Linked DNA regions of Drosophila melanogaster. The main gene of each other region encodes a partner of the protein of the gene in region 2 in a complex. Each region holds a gene or a part of one and is shown on either strand. Other genes may lie near its edges.

Region 1 (7,048 bases), on a different chromosome or scaffold from region 2:
GCATCTCGATGGAATTTCAATGTCAACACAAAAAACTACCCAAGTGAACACAATCGGGAATAACAAAAGACGAGAAGGGAGAGAACAATTGTGTTTAATTTGAATAATTTTGCGTATTGTTTGCCCGCCCGTCGCCAGGCAAGTCCAGATACAATTGTATCTGTATCTAGGTATGTTTATAATATTTCTACATATATATATATATATCTGGTGTCTTGAAAAAGGTGTTAAGTTTCCGCTGAATCAACAAAACCTGACGTCAGCGGCGACTGAATAATCAAGAAAGACCCCGTAGGGGGGAAGCTCCAAAGAACCGAGGAGTGGAGATGGCTGCGTTACCCAAAACCAAAATTTATTATTGTCATGCGAATGATGCACATACATATATACATACATATATGTGACAAGAGACGTGCGAGTTGTCAGTTTCACAGGAGCCGGTCGGTCATTCTGGCCAAAAACGATTCTCAGGGTCTAATGTTGCAGCACCAAAAGCAAAAAAGCGGGCACATTAAATTCCCGTCTACCTATTACTGTTACTGTTATTGTTTTACGGCCGAAAATGATTGTTTATTTGTGCAACTCGCTCTACGGCGATAAGCCAAAGAATTTAACGAGTATAATATAAGGCCTGCGGTTTGAATTGCGATAATTGTTATTAATCATGAAGCAAAAATGCAAAAGCAAACTTCGCCTGCGTCATAGGATGACTTATACTATATATTTATATATATTTGTTCAAGCTGATAACTGCTGAAAGCTCTGCTATATGGAAACTATACTAAACTATATATATAGAGTTGTTTGTTGAGCGATCCTATGTAATAACAACTTAATTTGCTTCGTTTAATAATAGCTACTGCCAATCTAGTCTATACTTATTACTCTGAACTGTTGAAAACCAAGTTAATTTATGTGAATTTCCCTAGCACGAACCAATTCGCCCTATCTAATCAATCGCCTTGGTTACCACCGAATTGGGCACCTCAACTTGAAGGCCAAAAGATACCCCAAATCTGAAAAATGGCACAACAAACTTGGCTCTCAGACATGTCGTGTTGACCAGCCTTTATGGACAACTTCCGTTCGGCAAGGAAAATGGAACAGAACAGAAACCCACTCGCTTTAAGCCAAATCAGCAATTGGCATTGGAATTATAGCGCCCTGCTTGACCTTATCTAATCGGGGGAATTTCGGTGAGTTTAAACAGCGAATACAAGCAAATTTGGTAACGGCAACGCGTTGGTGGCACCTGTTTTATTTGCACTTTTTGTCGCGTTGGCGTTCAATTGAATTTGCCCAGCTTATCTTGGCGTACTCTGGGGCAGATAAAACGCTTTTCAACTGGGTTATGTCATTGGCAAGCATGACTAAGCCAGAAACAGAAACCGAATGAGAAACACCCATCGAAATGCAGATCCCCAATCTGTTGAAAAGCAAATTGAAGCCCTCCTGTCTTCAAATGGCGACATTTGCAATCAACAACATGAGCAAAACCCCACCCACCGATGATATCCATTAATGGCAGTCAATCGGGCGAGGTCGTTAATCGAGTGGGGGGCTGGCTAATGCCTAATTGGTAATCCATTTGTATGCACAATCAGACGCCCACGACGTCCCGAGGAAGCTTCCACATCCAAGGCAAATACAGTGCCTTCCGAAAATGTATGCCTGGGGGATCAGGACTCAAGCTGTGCGTATATTTATCGGGATTTGTCCGTCATTTTTTAAGGTAGTGACTCATTGGATGGGTCATTGTATAGTAGTTAGTTCAAGATCATCACTTTTCACTTGCAAATAATATGATATCAAATATTATTCATACTTATGAATACATTTTGATAACAATAATTTTAATACACTTGGGCTTGAATCATTTATAAATTCACAAACGAGTTCTGCTGAATAAAACTATTTCTTCCAATGAGTTTGACAGTTAAATACAACATTAAAACAGGTCTTGGCTGAAATTATGCGGCTTTATGTTAAAGCCAAGTTTGCCGGGTTTACCGTTGTATAGCCGACGCTTTTTTTTTTTTGCCGGTCTCAACCGGTTTCATGGAGTTTAGTTTGGTTTTATGAATGACGGTTAGATTGAGAGCTTGGTTTTTGGGTACAATTTAAGTGCATTCGCACCGGGATCCAAACAACTGTGCTAACTGAGCCATAAGCCAGTCATTTGCCATTATTAACATGACACACACACATATCATCGGGCATTCATCATAGGCCATATGATCATATGATGAAGTCAGCCCAGGAACACAGTGACTCATGGAAATTTATATGAATGTTGGCTCATTTTCAACGGAAACAAATAAGATATACAGACAAACGTATCTCATAATTAGCCGAGCTAAAGATCAACAAACTTTGAAGATCAGTCAGTAAAACCCTTGGCAAATGTTTGCTTCTGGGCCAAGTTAGCAGCGTTGGTTGAATCACTGAAACAAATTGGCCACGTAGAAAGCGATGCGATATATTTTAATTAAAAGCTGTTTGCATTCTGCGTGAGCTGTAAAATCGCTAATTAAATTAGGCGACACCAGATGAGGCTGAAAGAAGGTGTGGCGCGGGTGTGGGCATCGCAGTGGGCGTGGGGCTTTCTTATCAAAAAGCGCAGAGGAAAGCAAACGAACGAGAGAAGAAAGCGCAAAGAGGGCGGCAAGAAAATTGGATTATGTGGTTAAGCGGCGGCGTCTAGCAGGAATTTTTCTTCATTTGCAGCGCTCCTCCTCCCCCATCGTTCGCCTGTGCCGTTACAATAAAATTCTTGCGCGAAAAGGCAAAGTGGAACAGGCAGCCGCCAACACACACACCCATACGCTCACTCACACGCACACGAATACGAATACGCGGAGCCGAACGAATGAACGACCGAAGCGGACGAACCAAGGCGAAGGCGAAACAGCAAAATAACCGCAATGCGGCAAATGAAACGGTTATGGAAGAAAACAAGAAAAGGCAGGCGCCGATAAAAGTGACAAGCGCAAGGCGCAAAAAAAAATGAAATGCTGAAAGAAACGGAAAGAGAGAGACGCAGCACAAAACGGAACTGATAACGCAAACGAAATAATTGCACATAGAGAGAGACGAGAAAGTGTGTGAAACGGTTATGCGAGAGAGCGTCGAAACGGTTAAGCTGAGCGCAAGAGCAGGAGAAATGCCTCTAAAGAATTTTTTCACCATTTCCATGGGGCCGTGTCTAACCTCAATTTTTGCGGCCAAGTGTGCGGTAAATAAAAAATACAACCAGAAAGCAAAGAACAAGCGAACAACGAACGGCGGGGCAAAGAGGAGAGGCCAATAATGCCGGGACCGGCGACTTTGTTGTTCATCATCAATATATATTCACACATTTTCCACTGATAAGCAAAATGGAGGGCGCTTTTCTATTATTTGCGGGGATCTTTGAAAAATTGCTGATAAAAGTGCCGATGGCAACGCGTCTATGTAGGAATGCGAGTGTGTGTGTGCATAAATGCTCAACAAATTGGCTAAAATCACATTGATTTATGATCCCAAATGGTGGTGGTGGGTTGGGCAAGCAGGGGGGCTTCGAAAATGAGGTGTTGCTCGAGATGCTGATAAGAGTTTCCACTTTTCCACGCCTGATTGGGTTTCCAGGGGTATTTCTACCCGAACGTCATGGAATTATTATAGGGCGAACCCGATCGCGTCAACATTCCGTGTGCGACAGCCTTGATAAAATAAATAATAATTTTGACGAGTGACGTGACATGTGTGTAAATTCTTGCTATTGGCATTGCTATTTAATTGTGCTGCTTGTTTTCTGTGACCCTAGGGGCCAAAGTTGAACATTTGATTAAGTCAGGTTAAGAACATGAAAATCTTGCAGCTTAAATATACTAGTTTAAGTATAAACTTAATTTCAAATGATTGCATTCACTTTTTCTCAATGCAGTTTTATGGATTTTGATTATGTTTCATTGTGAAAGGGGTATAAACTACCATATTTTCAAGGGGTTGCATGGTGTTCGCAATTTCTTGTTTCTAAATCAACGATATTGGGTTGTTGAAAAAACTGGTTTTTTCTACCCGTGAGGCGATATATTTTTGGGGTGCAAAATGTAAACGAATTTCCCGGGGACAGCTGCTTTTCGACGGGGTGTTTGGTGTGCTGGGATGTGTGTAGCGAGTGTGTGTGTGTGAAAAGCCGTTAAAACCATATAAACAACGTCTAATTGGAAGCGATTCGCTCCTCCCGCTCGCACTAATGGCAATAGCCCTGGGGGTCGCTGTCTGACTTTGATTTTTCGCAAAAACTGTGGAAATTTCAATGGAAAATGATGGCCGCAGGTTGTGTAAACAGAAAATAAAGATGCACATGTTCTCCAGCCCCATAAACTTACCATTTTTGTAGGTGTTTTTTTTTTCTGTTTGTTGCTAGAGTGACGAAGTTTTAATCCGCTGCGGCTACTGCTGCTGCTTGGGTGTTGGTATGTGTGTGAGTGGAATTACGGAACGCGCGGTTAACTTTATATTTTACTAAATTAACACACTGCAAAAGAAGCAAGAAGAGGTTTGTTGGGTATTACTTTCGGGGGGTCAACTGGAGGTGGAAGAGGCTGAGGAGAAAAACTACTGCCAGCTTGGAGAGAAAGAAAAGCGTCCGTCCAAAGCACCGACGCCGACGCTTTTTTTTCTCGCCGTGGCAGTTTCTGAAATTTCTTTAGTGTTGTTGCTTCAGCCGAATTTAATACAAATTTTCGCCTTGCGTTTCTTCTTTATTTTTTTGTGGCTTTCATTCGTTTTTTTTTTCATCTATTGTGCGAAATATGCCAAACACACGCGCGCACACGGCAGAATTCTCGTTTATATAGTAGATATATGGCGGGGAGAGCTAATACATATAAGAGTTGCTCGAATTCGGTTTTTATAAAGATATTTGTTTAATTTTTTGCTCGTTGGTTTTCTTGATTTTTGGCTGGCGCTGAGAAATTGGCTTTTCCGCGAAACGTTCGCAGCTCCTGGTGCTTGGGTGTGGGCTCTTTTCGCTTTTTTTGTATTTTTTTTTTTTTTTTGTTGGCCCAATACTGCTCTCTATATGCAATGTCTGGTCTGTTTGTTCTGACAACTCACGATCCTAATCTGAATTTCCGTCCGCAACGGTCGACGACTCAAAACTTTGTGTTCAAAATAGCGCTGCGTCGCCATATATACGGTTTTATTTTGCCAGCAGCAATAGCAATAACCGCTCTCGCTCTCGCGAGAACGAACCGGGTAAGTTCGCTTTTGCAGCGGCAGCGTCTGCATGTGTTTGTTTCTGTTGCTTATCCACTCACCTTCGTAAAGCGAAAATAAGTTTGATTTCGCCGTTGTAACGGTCGCGCCGGCGCTTTTCGCGAAAATAGGTGTGTACAAAAATTGTATCAACATACTACAGGTAACTAAAGTTATAAATAATAGGAAGCTAGCTTCTGCAAAAATAAACTTATGCATAGGTTTGCCCTTGCAGTAATAGAAAAAAATGAATCAACTATGTATGTACTCACATATGTACATCTATATAAACAAATGTCTTTTTTATTGTCCGTTTATTCTAATTACCGGTTGTGATTTATGTTTATGTAAACAGTTCTTCGATTTTTAAGTTCAAATTTTAATTGACAAAAATATACTTCAAAATGTTGCAAATTTTATTCTTAACGGATAAATGTTAACGTAAATGTTAAACTAACATTCGATGTTAAAAAAAAACGAACTGTAAAGTCAGCTGTTGCAAACATATAGCATTTGCCATTGCATATGATGGGGAATTAACATACACACATACACATGTATATTATACAGCAGACAGAAATTACATACGTATACGTTATTAATAACAATGACGGTAAATTTTTCCATATATTTTTCGATTTTCGACTGAAATTGCTATACTTTTTCGAAGTGATCACCTAAAATAAATCTTCTATTTGCACACCATATTAAAAATAATTAAGAATTTTTGGACAACTTTAGATTTTGGATTTGTGAGTCCGATTAACTAACTTTCTTCGGGTGGATCTTCATTTACGACATCTTTCGACATCTGGCTGGATCTGCGCTGAGTTTCCTGGCTATTACGCGGAGGAGTATCGGACTTCCTTTCGGTCACATTACTGGCGGACTTCCTTTCCGGTCCGGAGGAGAGGAGCATCCGCTTGGTGCTGTACAGATCACCACTGCTGGCTCGCGGATCCCGCTGGCGACCAGCGAAACTCAACGAGGCTCCGTGGGTGGTGATGAAGGATGTGGGCGGTGGGGGCTCGCCCCGCTTGATGGCCTCCTTTCTCTCCTGCTCGCGGCGCTGCTTTAGGGACAGACGGGCCTCCCGCATGCGCCGCTTCACCTCACGCTCCTCGAACTGCTCCTGATCGAAGGGTGTGTCGGCCGCTGGAGGACGCGTCTGATTTATGTTTCGCTTTATGTAGGTCTCCAGCTCCTCGTCGGTCATGTTCTTGGTCTTGATCAGCTCGGTGAAGGCCATCTTGGCCTCCAGCTGCTTCGCCTGGGAGCGTTTCAGGCGATAGAAATCCTCGCGCTCGAACTCCTCCAACTCGCCGCATATATAGTTATAGGTATTTTGCAGGATGGGTATTACCTTGCGGATACAAAGTGATATTTATTGAAGATTATCCATGATAACATATGGATCATATGAATTAATTATAATTACCACATGCTCCAGAGCATTGACCCTCATGTTGGTCTGCAACGAGGCTGCCTCCAGCATTCGCACTTGGTATTCCAGAGAGGCGAACTCCACCAGTGCCTTGAGTGCCTTCGTATAGGAGTCCCTGATTCGGCTCACTTGCATACCGCCACAGCTGAGACCAGCCAGCGGAAAAGCGCCCACGCCCTTCGTCTCCAGCTCCAGGGTGTTCAGCTTGACGCCCACAATTTTGATCTCCGTGCGGCGTAGCGATACGGTTGCCACGTGGCTGCGGCTTACCATCTGCGGCTTGAAATCGGCGCCCAGAAGATTGGCCTTTGCCATCGAGAATATGGCATTGCGCATCGCCTCATCGCCGTGCATGTCCTG
Region 2 (9,067 bases):
ATAAATACATTTTGGTTGTGGGCTGGATAAATTTGACATGATTTGCTAAAAAATCGTAAGAAAATTTTGCTCGTTTCAATTAGCCTCATTTGTGTATAAATTCGGTTACAAACTTGACAAACATTATGCTATGAAAATGCATATCTATGGGAAGGTATACAATTATGCCAATTTGGTGTTTTCCGTGAATTCAAAGCTCTTACTTTGGAACACGATTATAGCTTGGAACTTATAAACTCAATTTAATAATAAAACAAAATAATATAATATTCTTCCTTAAAAACTACCACTTAAGCCAAATGATTAAGTTTAGACTGATTACAATTCATATAATTCAGAGAAAGCCTATTATGAATATTAAATATCTTAAAAACTGTGTATAAAAACTTAAGTAAGCTAGCATATGCCAATTTGTTGAATTTGTTGAATTTTTGTTGAATTTGTTTTAATAGTGCCAAGATGGACAACTTCGAAATAGAATTATCATCTTTTCAGCCTAAACAAAAACATCCATTTTGGACCCAGAACCCGCAGATATAACCTAGTTAATGCAGTTGGCAGTGACGAGAAAGGTTTTTAGGCCAAGTTGATCGATTCGAAGCCTACTTTTGAGGGCCAATGGCCAACTCGATTTATTTCAATTACCGCAGCCTAGTGGCCAATTTCCGCCTTCCGTTCGTTCCAGTCGAAGTCCGGATGTGTGGGGTCAAGACTCCGAGATAATGGGATTATCCGCCGGCACATTTACAGACGTGAATGCGTTATTTGTCCATTAATCCCATGGCAAAGAGCAGGAAACGGACACTGGCCGTAATGGGTCCTGCCAAGTCATCGAGGTTTTCTCGACATCACCCAACTCTTACCACCCACCCACTTTCCAGCATTTTCCCCAAGTGTGTGCGAGTGTGTGTGCGTGTGTGTGGAGCGATCAAAAAATGATTGTTGCCCTGACTCAATTACGATAAATTGCACGTCAGCCTGTGTGACAATCAGTAAATTTGCCCGCATTTCGGTTCATTTCAGTTCCGCAAACATCGCCTACGGGAATGGGAGTCCGGCAGCAATTAAGTTAGTATTTACTGAAGATAATGTTTCAAGTCGGTGAGAGCCGGTGGCTGCATAAATGTACGGGCAAACAGCCATTTGTTTAATATCTAAAATTTGGGGGGAGGGGGGTGTTGAAACCCAGCACATTGGAGACGAAAGATAAACCATTTCGATTGGCCTTTGTTTTCCCAAAGGGAAATTTAATTTAACGTATTTCAACTGAGTACTTTATTATTTTAAGTACTCATTCAGAGAAAAACCGCTTTATAACGATCTTGGTTTGAGTATGTCGCTTTCAGAATCTAGCCAAAATCGAAACATGCTCAAATACTTAGATCGAGATTAAACCATTCTCATATTGCAAATGAGAGCAATCATATATCATATATCATATATCATATATCATATATCATATATCAATATCAGCATTGAGATCGTTTTCGTCTCGAAATTGAGAAAGTTTCATTTCACGAGAATGAGTAAGCTCGGTTTTTTGTCGTTCCCAATTTTTCTGGATGAGTTTATGCATCTATTCAATTATCAATAAAGTTGAACAATAAATATGTCAATATTCATATGCTCGTTTATTGTTTCGTGATTGCATAGCACTTAATATTTATTCTTTCTATTAAAAACACTTCCCTTGAAATCATCGTTGTCAGTTTCGACATTTTAAATTGGTAGCCAGCAAATGATGCCCAAAACTGCATTCTGTTTCATGAGATAAAAGCATTAAAAACAGTTTGCATTAGTGCCAATTTCGCAGAGTGTGTTGCTAATTTGATTTCATTCTTTTCGTTGCAAATTGTTGAGCTAATTACGGGCACTCACAAGGTCAGTCGTGAAGTTGATTCACTCAAATTCTTCGACAGGTAATTTAGTTTGCCTACGCTACTAATTAAGTTGCCCCAGTCAATTTGTAAGAGGGCACGTGGTACTAGTTGTATATATATGGTAATAGGTAGGGATCCGAAGGACCTGCAAGGACCTATTGCCGCTTCACGCGCTGCCCATAAAGGTGTTCCGTTCAATTTTGCACTTTTACTACCCGAAATCTCCTTTGGGGTAGCCATTAACAGGGCGGCAGTTTTAACGACTTTGGAATGATGTCAGCTCGGATGCCGATGCTCGTCATCGTTAAGGACCGATTTGTTCTTTTATTTATAAACCAAATTGGGAATTAACGCAGATTGAGCGTTGGGCGCCGACACCTACAGCCATATGGACTAGAATTTCTAGCCAGCTGTAAGAAACATGATTTATTCACACCAAATACACTCGAAAAAGAATATACCATATATGCAAAAGATGAGTTGGCACTTTAAGAAAGAGTATATTTGAAATATGCTTGAGCTCGATTGCATCGCTTATGAGGCAATCCGTTGATTGAGGTTCTGAAATAAAGCTTTTATATTCCTTTCTTCACGATGACTATGAAATTTAAGAGAAGGATTCGATGAAAAGGATATATTTCAAGAGCTGTAAAACGAGTCTAAAAGTGGGAAACGTTTATGGTTTCCGTGCGAGTAGGTGCAAATGTGTTTGAGGAGGAATGGCGAGGAGAGAGCTTTTCTCCCAGTGTAGCGCAAAAGATGTGAGCCAACACTGCGGCTTAATTGCCATGGAAAAGTATCCGAATACCGACCTTATGCCATCGTTTTGGTTAACAAATCAGGCGTGAAAATGACGGCACCTCGGCTCCTCGGGGGATGGAAGCTAAACTGCTTAATTTAATCGATTTTCGTTAAGAGTTTTAAATTTCTTATCTTGTTTGGGTAAACGCATTTAGCGACGGTTACTCATCGTGCGGGATTGGTTTAAGTTCCATCCGCTATTCTTCTAATACCCTTCTGCTTTTTGGTTTGATGCAACTAATTGGATTGTTATTACTTCAATCCCAAGCCTAAAACTTCAAAACTTTAAATTAAATACACCTTAATATATATATCTTGGTACAGCTTTAAAAATTTGCCATTTCATTTGAAAATACAATACAGGCGTGGTAAGAGTGTGCGTATCTAAAGTAATAAATAATAAACATAAGAAATTATGGCAGTAAATAACTTTTTTATACTTTTAAAGCTTAAATTTCAGGAAGATGTATCTCCCAAAACTTGTAATTATTTTCCAATTTATCCGTACTTATGTATGTTATTACCAAAAGCATCTTGGTTATCAGCCTTAAGTTAATTGCTTTTCGGTTTTAGTCCGATTTCCGTCGACTGGCAACAAAACTTTCGAACACCCGACTTAATTCGAGCCAACATTGTGGACTGTGGGCAGACTTTTCTTGCCGCAACTTTCTACCCAATTTAAATGACTCTAAATTGGCATTTCGTGCTAAGAAAACACCAGAAACAAGAACTCCGAGGAGCTGCTCTTTACGAGTTTTTCGGTGACCGTGGAAAACTGGGGATACGGAAACGGAAAAGCCATAACAAAAAAAATTTAATCGGAAGTGGTGAGAATTTTTGGGGCTGCTGGCGTGCGACTACCAAAAAAGAAACCGCCGGGAATTCGTGCGAAAAAATAAAAAGCAACTCAACCGAACTGTGGGAAAAATAAACGAAATCACGAATAAAAGCAACTAAATCCCAAGGAAACAAAGAGCGAAGGGAAAAAAGGCTCGAAATCAAATGCCAGACGTCATCGAGATTTGTTGCCTGTGAGGCACATAAAACTCATTCCCATTCAGTCACTTTTACAACCTCCAGGAGTTGGGCGGTTGCTAATCCTCCAGCCGTACGCCACCCGCCATCCGCCAATTGGCCCAAATCCGAGTGGGCAGGTGGCCCCAAATTATGAATGTGGTACAAGGAAGCGGGCACACGGTAAGGGACCTAATAAATTCCAACTCGGATTCAATCCCCCATTCAATTCATACATACAAACGTGTCCGTGCATTTGTTTTTATGAACACTTCCATGTTTCGGTGTTATTCTTGTATCATAACAAATTGCGTTCAAGTTAAGTTGGGTTTACGGGTATGGAATGTCAGAATTTCTTCTTTTAATTGCTATACAAATTGGCCGTAGAAATCTACATACTATTGATTGGGCCAATAAGGTAAACCAATGATTCTAGAAATATTCTTGAAATAGAGAATGTGCCTTGAATGTAACGAAAAATTCAATAATAATAGTTCAAACAAACATCAAGAAATTGTCTAAGCTTGAATAGAAATTCGATAAATATATTAAAAGCTTTATGTTGTTTGCTTAAATAAATTTGTACAAATGATAGTTTCACTAAAGTCACTTAAAGTATTTCTCTGAAATTTCATCACCTTTGAGTAGCCCAATGCTTTTAATTTACATTTTTCCCCTAGTCTGCTCTGCTTAGTCTTTTGTTATTGCTTTTCCTTGTTTGTTTTAAAAACACTGCACTTGTGTGTCCTCAATTTCGAAAAAAGTTTTCACACCGCCAAATGGGTAAGAAATATACATACTTGTATCTTAGCAGAATACTTGTCGTATACGTAATAAACATACGAACAGGCAAATGGATAAGTGGACTAGACAAATATTGCGCTTACTCGTGTGAAACACAAAATATCATGAGTAATTCATATGGCAAACACCTCTGGATTGTAATGGAATCGTTTATATATTATTAATTTGCTCCTTGCCTCATTTCTTTGTCTGCTAGCTGTCATCGCCTTCGATTTCATTCCGTGTTATTTTTTCCATTCAACCAGACCTTCTCTTTGGCAACATAAGTTAAAAAACCACGAAATATATCTTGGGCCGAAAAAGTGACACCATTTTTTTCTAAAAACATTTTCAGTTTGTAGCAGTTTTTATTTTGTAAATTGTTCTAATGGATCATTTAAAAAAATTGACTGGAATATATGGAATATGCTAAAATATCTTAAAATAAGAAGTAGAAACACGAACTCTCCCTTCAGCTTATTTTGCATTATTTGAATTCATAGAATACAGCTTTTCTTTTCGGTGTACATTTGATAGCAGTACTATTTATACATGTGTGTATAGAACGTATGGAAATGCATGTTCTTTCGCATATATGTACATTTGTATGTGAGTATATTTTCGAGTGTTTCCCATCCGCCGCGCCGGTCGATTTTACTTTTTTTTTGCTGATCCGATTTAATGCGTGGAATTTGTTAGTAATTTAGCAAAACGACGCACTAAACGGAAGAGCGCGAATAAAAAAAGCCATTCGGTTGGAAAGTTCTGTCGGCACTAAGGATGCGACCATTCCGTGCCAGCGGCACAAGTGGCCATAACATGAAGGCGTGAGCGTAAACAAACACAGAAAATTGGTCGGTCCAAAAGAGAGATAAACAGCGATGACAATAAGATATGTACATGCATGCATATACAAATGTACATATACATACATATGTCATCTAGAAGGCGGCAAAAGGCATTAAATGAAGCCACACACAAAAATTCTCGCGGTGACAGATATAACCAGAAGAACACAAAAGACGGGAGAGGAGGGATGGCAAAGGCATATGCTGCTTTTGGTTCGGAAATAGCGCGTTCTGTGCGGAGAGCATTACGTATACGTACTGGTGTACGGGTACGGATCGTCGGGAGCGCGACGTTTTGTTATTCGAGCGTCCGTGGCGCGTGGAATACCGTTACAAACTGAACGCAGGCCACAAGCTCGGAAATCCTTTTTGGCCTCCGCTGCTGCCTCCGTCGCTGCCAAAGGCTCTGCTGCTGCCACGGCCGGCGTCGCCGCCGACCTCTCACTCGCTCCCACTCTCGCCATATTCGCCGCCATCGCCATGCTGCCCGAAAGCAAAACAAAGAGCGATGGCCGCATCAGCTGATTGCCCCGTTTCATTGCCATTCCCGTTCATTTTGCAGCGGAGGCTGCGCACGGCTCTCTCGCTCTCTTCTATCCATTTCATCTACACTGGAAATAGCACGGGTATATCTATTCCTTAAATTGTTAACGAATTTCGCAATTGTTTCATCTGCGTAATTAGTATTAAAGGAAAAGGCAACATAAATATGAAACCAAATGTAAATGGTTAGTATTTGAATAACAGCCATTTGTGAAATCAATCAATATTTTTCTTTCTGTGCAACCCAGAGAGCGAGCAGAGCAGCGATGCTAATCCAAAGATGCCAAGTTTGATAACGTCCTCGTGTTTGCATTTTGAATTTATGATATGCATCTTCCAGTTAAAACTTCAACCAGACGTGCGGCTGATGCTGGTTGTTTGGGAAAGAAGAAGTAATACTAAATAGGGGAATCAACAAAAAGCCATTAAGACAGATTTTTTTTAGATTAAAGGGGTTTCTTCTTCAAGATACGTATGTACATCTTTAATTGTTGAACAAACGAAAAAGTATTTCATCATTCGATATTATTCCTTTTTTTAAGTTTTAAAATTTATGATAAAAATAGTAATATGAAAATGATAGACTTAAATACGCTTAAAAAACTACTTCATATATGTACAAGATTCATGGGATATAATATCTTGGAATCAATTGCAGATGTAATATTATAATTATCTATTTAATGAATTTTGCAATATTCAGCCGAGCATTTCTGGCACCTGTTTGCAAAAAGAAAAGAAGAGGATCGATGGTTATAACCAACAAGTGCGCCGTGTGACTTGATATTCTGTTGATATGTTCCACTATCGTTACACAAAACCCAGAGCTCTGTTATGGTTCCGTTCTTGTAGTTATATTGATTATTTGCTCGGTTCCATGGCCTTTGGGGTGTCGTATACTCGTATGTGTTTTAATAGTCCAAGTGCCGCCAAGCCTTCCGTTGGCCATTCTGTGTGATTTTGGGGCTCCGGCCTCGAGGGGATTTTGTAGCTGAAACTCACGAAAGCCCCAAAATGAGTGCTGTCCCCTTGCTCCTTCACGGTGGTTTCACGATTTTGGGGTTTTCGTTGGTCGTAGCTTTAACTTTAATGGCAATTAGGGCCCAGAGCGGCTAACCTGCTATTAGTGATTACGGAATGCTCGGTCCCACTTCAAATTCAGTTAGCAGATGTGCGTGCGGCACAAGTTTCCGTTGCAATTGGTAAACTTTGTCTGCATTCTATGCATACAAATACAAACAAGAAGCCGGGCCAGATGAAGATACACAGCCTTTCAGATACTAATCCCCTGATTCTACATGCCTAAGATACACGATTAGATGGTCGTCCGTGTTGTTCCTTAGACTTCCACTTCTTCAGAACTCTTTAAGCCGGAAAGATTTTAGCTAGTGGAATTGTTGAGTTAGTTTAGGTGTAGGAAAGAATAATGTAAGTCAAATAGACGAAAACTCTAATTCTTCGTTTTCCACCTCAACAATAAAACACTTTACTTTACCAGCCAGCTTGACCCATCTTCTCTGCATAACCGGTTCTTACCTTGTGGCCCGATATTGAAATCCGCCGGACACGTTTCAATGCAGCCTGCAGACAATAGTGCATGGAGGCTAGTAAGGGTCACTCGGCGATTTCCGATAGGTCGAGTATCCTCGCTGTTCTTCTTATTGGCATCCTCGTCCTGTTTCGCGCACTGTTTTGCATATTCCAGTGCTAATGGCCGGTTGGCCGGTTGGCCGCACGCCACTCTCACCTGAATGGCCTGGTTGGCTGGTTGGTCAGGTGGGAGCTCCTTCGTGCTGGCATGCCATTGAAAAACATCCCATAAACATTTTGCTCAGCCCGGTATTTAAAATGGCTGCATGCGAATTTTTAGCCAACACAACATCAAAGTTCAAAAGTGGCTAACTTAATTAATTTAATGTGTGGGCCAGCAATAGAATTTTCAAGGTCCTTTAATTACGGAGCTATAAAGTGGCACAGAGTAGTTTCCATTACACATATACCCTGTTTTTAATTTTCGATCAGTATAATTATTAATTTAACTTTTTAGGAATGAATTATGGGATTTAATTCCAAGATTCAATATGAAAATACCATGTACTTTTACCTGAGTAGAGCACTTCCATGGCGCTTTTGGTCTCCGGTGGACACCTGTGCATGCTAAGAGTCTCACCTGACAGTCTTCTGTTTGCCAAGTCAATTAGTGCAAGTGAACACTCTTCCCAAATGGGTACTAATTAAAAAACATTTTAAGTATCTTTGCGTGCGGATAAAATGAAGCGTCTAATCGTTTATGCTCTGCAAAAAAGGAGCAATACTCAACGAAAAACTATTGTTTTTTATTCCCTATTAGGTTAGAATATGTACGTTTTGGGATCTAGATAAGTTCTGCTTTTGATTTTGACTATACTTTTACGAACATATTTGAACAAACGTCAAAGGAAGTGGTCAGATTCAATGATTTACTGGATTTTGATTTTAATATCGATTACAGGGAACTCATTTTCCGAAGCATTTTTCTGACTCACAGATAGAAAAGAACATCGTTTTACGTTTTGCTTTTTAGTTAAACTGTATTTTTTTATTTATATTAGTACTGCCAAACTAAGTATAACTTAATTAGCATGCTATTAAATTTATTTATCATTTGTCTACATATTTAGTCCGATCACGTCAAATTTACTTTAAACACATTAAAAGTTGTCAAGATAGCTAAGATTGTATTAGTACATTACAAATGGAGTTCGTTTAGTCCCAGGGATGCATTCGGATCTTCTTCCGGGAAGGTGTCAAAATCAATGGTGATCGTTTTTTTCTGGGGGATGTGTCGCTTATATTCCACGCCCACTGCATCCAGCATCCGCTTGGATGCACGATATGTGGGCTTATCGGCATATTTGTCGGACAAATATAGCACCTGAGATATGCCCACCTGGAATACAAATAGGTTAATTTATATGTTATGATATGTATGTACTATATATTCTTGATCAATTTTAGAAGATGAGTTCATAAAGCTGCCGTCCGTTTGGTCGTCCTTTCGTTTTAACGAAAAACTTAAAACCTTTTTGAAGCCGTGAAACTATTGGAAAGATTGTGCTTCCATGTTTGTGATCATATATTGGTGTAATTTTGTACACAACCGTTGTTTTTCCATATATTAATTCGTTTTTCATTTTATCAAAATAGGACGACTAAATT

Evidence for each region.
Region 1: the proteins of rdgC (region 2) and Cam are in contact, whole or in part, in a crystal structure (PDB 8ZLW), measured with the Drosophila melanogaster proteins. Residues at the interface, in NP_788546.1 of Drosophila melanogaster: Asp2, Glu3, Asn4, Ala5, Ile6, Arg7, Ala8, Ala9, Ile10, Phe11, Ile12, Gln13, Lys14, Trp15, Tyr16, Arg17, Arg18, His19, Gln20, Arg23; in NP_001246276.1 of Drosophila melanogaster: Glu12, Glu15, Ala16, Leu19, Phe20, Leu33, Met37, Leu40, Met52, Glu55, Val56, Phe69, Met72, Met73, Arg75, Ser82, Glu84, Glu85, Ile86, Glu88, Ala89, Val92, Phe93, Ile101, Leu106, Val109, Met110, Leu113, Glu115, Lys116.

What each region holds. Positions count from the first base shown.
Region 1 is NT_033778.4:12,257,514-12,264,561, reverse strand, and holds the start of Cam (calmodulin), read right to left. Parts: upstream 5,165-7,048; 5' UTR 5,104-5,164; intron 4,531-5,103; exon of another isoform or gene 4,523-4,530; 5' UTR 4,377-4,522; coding exon 4,374-4,376; intron 4,287-4,373; exon of another isoform or gene 3,749-4,286; intron 19-3,748; exon of another isoform or gene 1-18. Other genes in the region: Vha36-2 (vacuolar H[+] ATPase 36kD subunit 2), read right to left, coding at 6,011-6,607, 6,683-7,048. UniProt on the Drosophila melanogaster protein: Calmodulin mediates the control of a large number of enzymes, ion channels and other proteins by Ca(2+). Among the enzymes to be stimulated by the calmodulin-Ca(2+) complex are a number of protein kinases and phosphatases.
Region 2 is NT_037436.4:20,244,669-20,253,735, reverse strand, and holds the start of rdgC (retinal degeneration C), read right to left. Parts: upstream 5,657-9,067; 5' UTR 5,411-5,656; intron 5,109-5,410; exon of another isoform or gene 4,676-5,108; intron 1-4,675. Other genes in the region: CG6951 (uncharacterized protein), read right to left, coding at 8,598-8,798. UniProt on the Drosophila melanogaster protein: Phosphatase required to prevent light-induced retinal degeneration.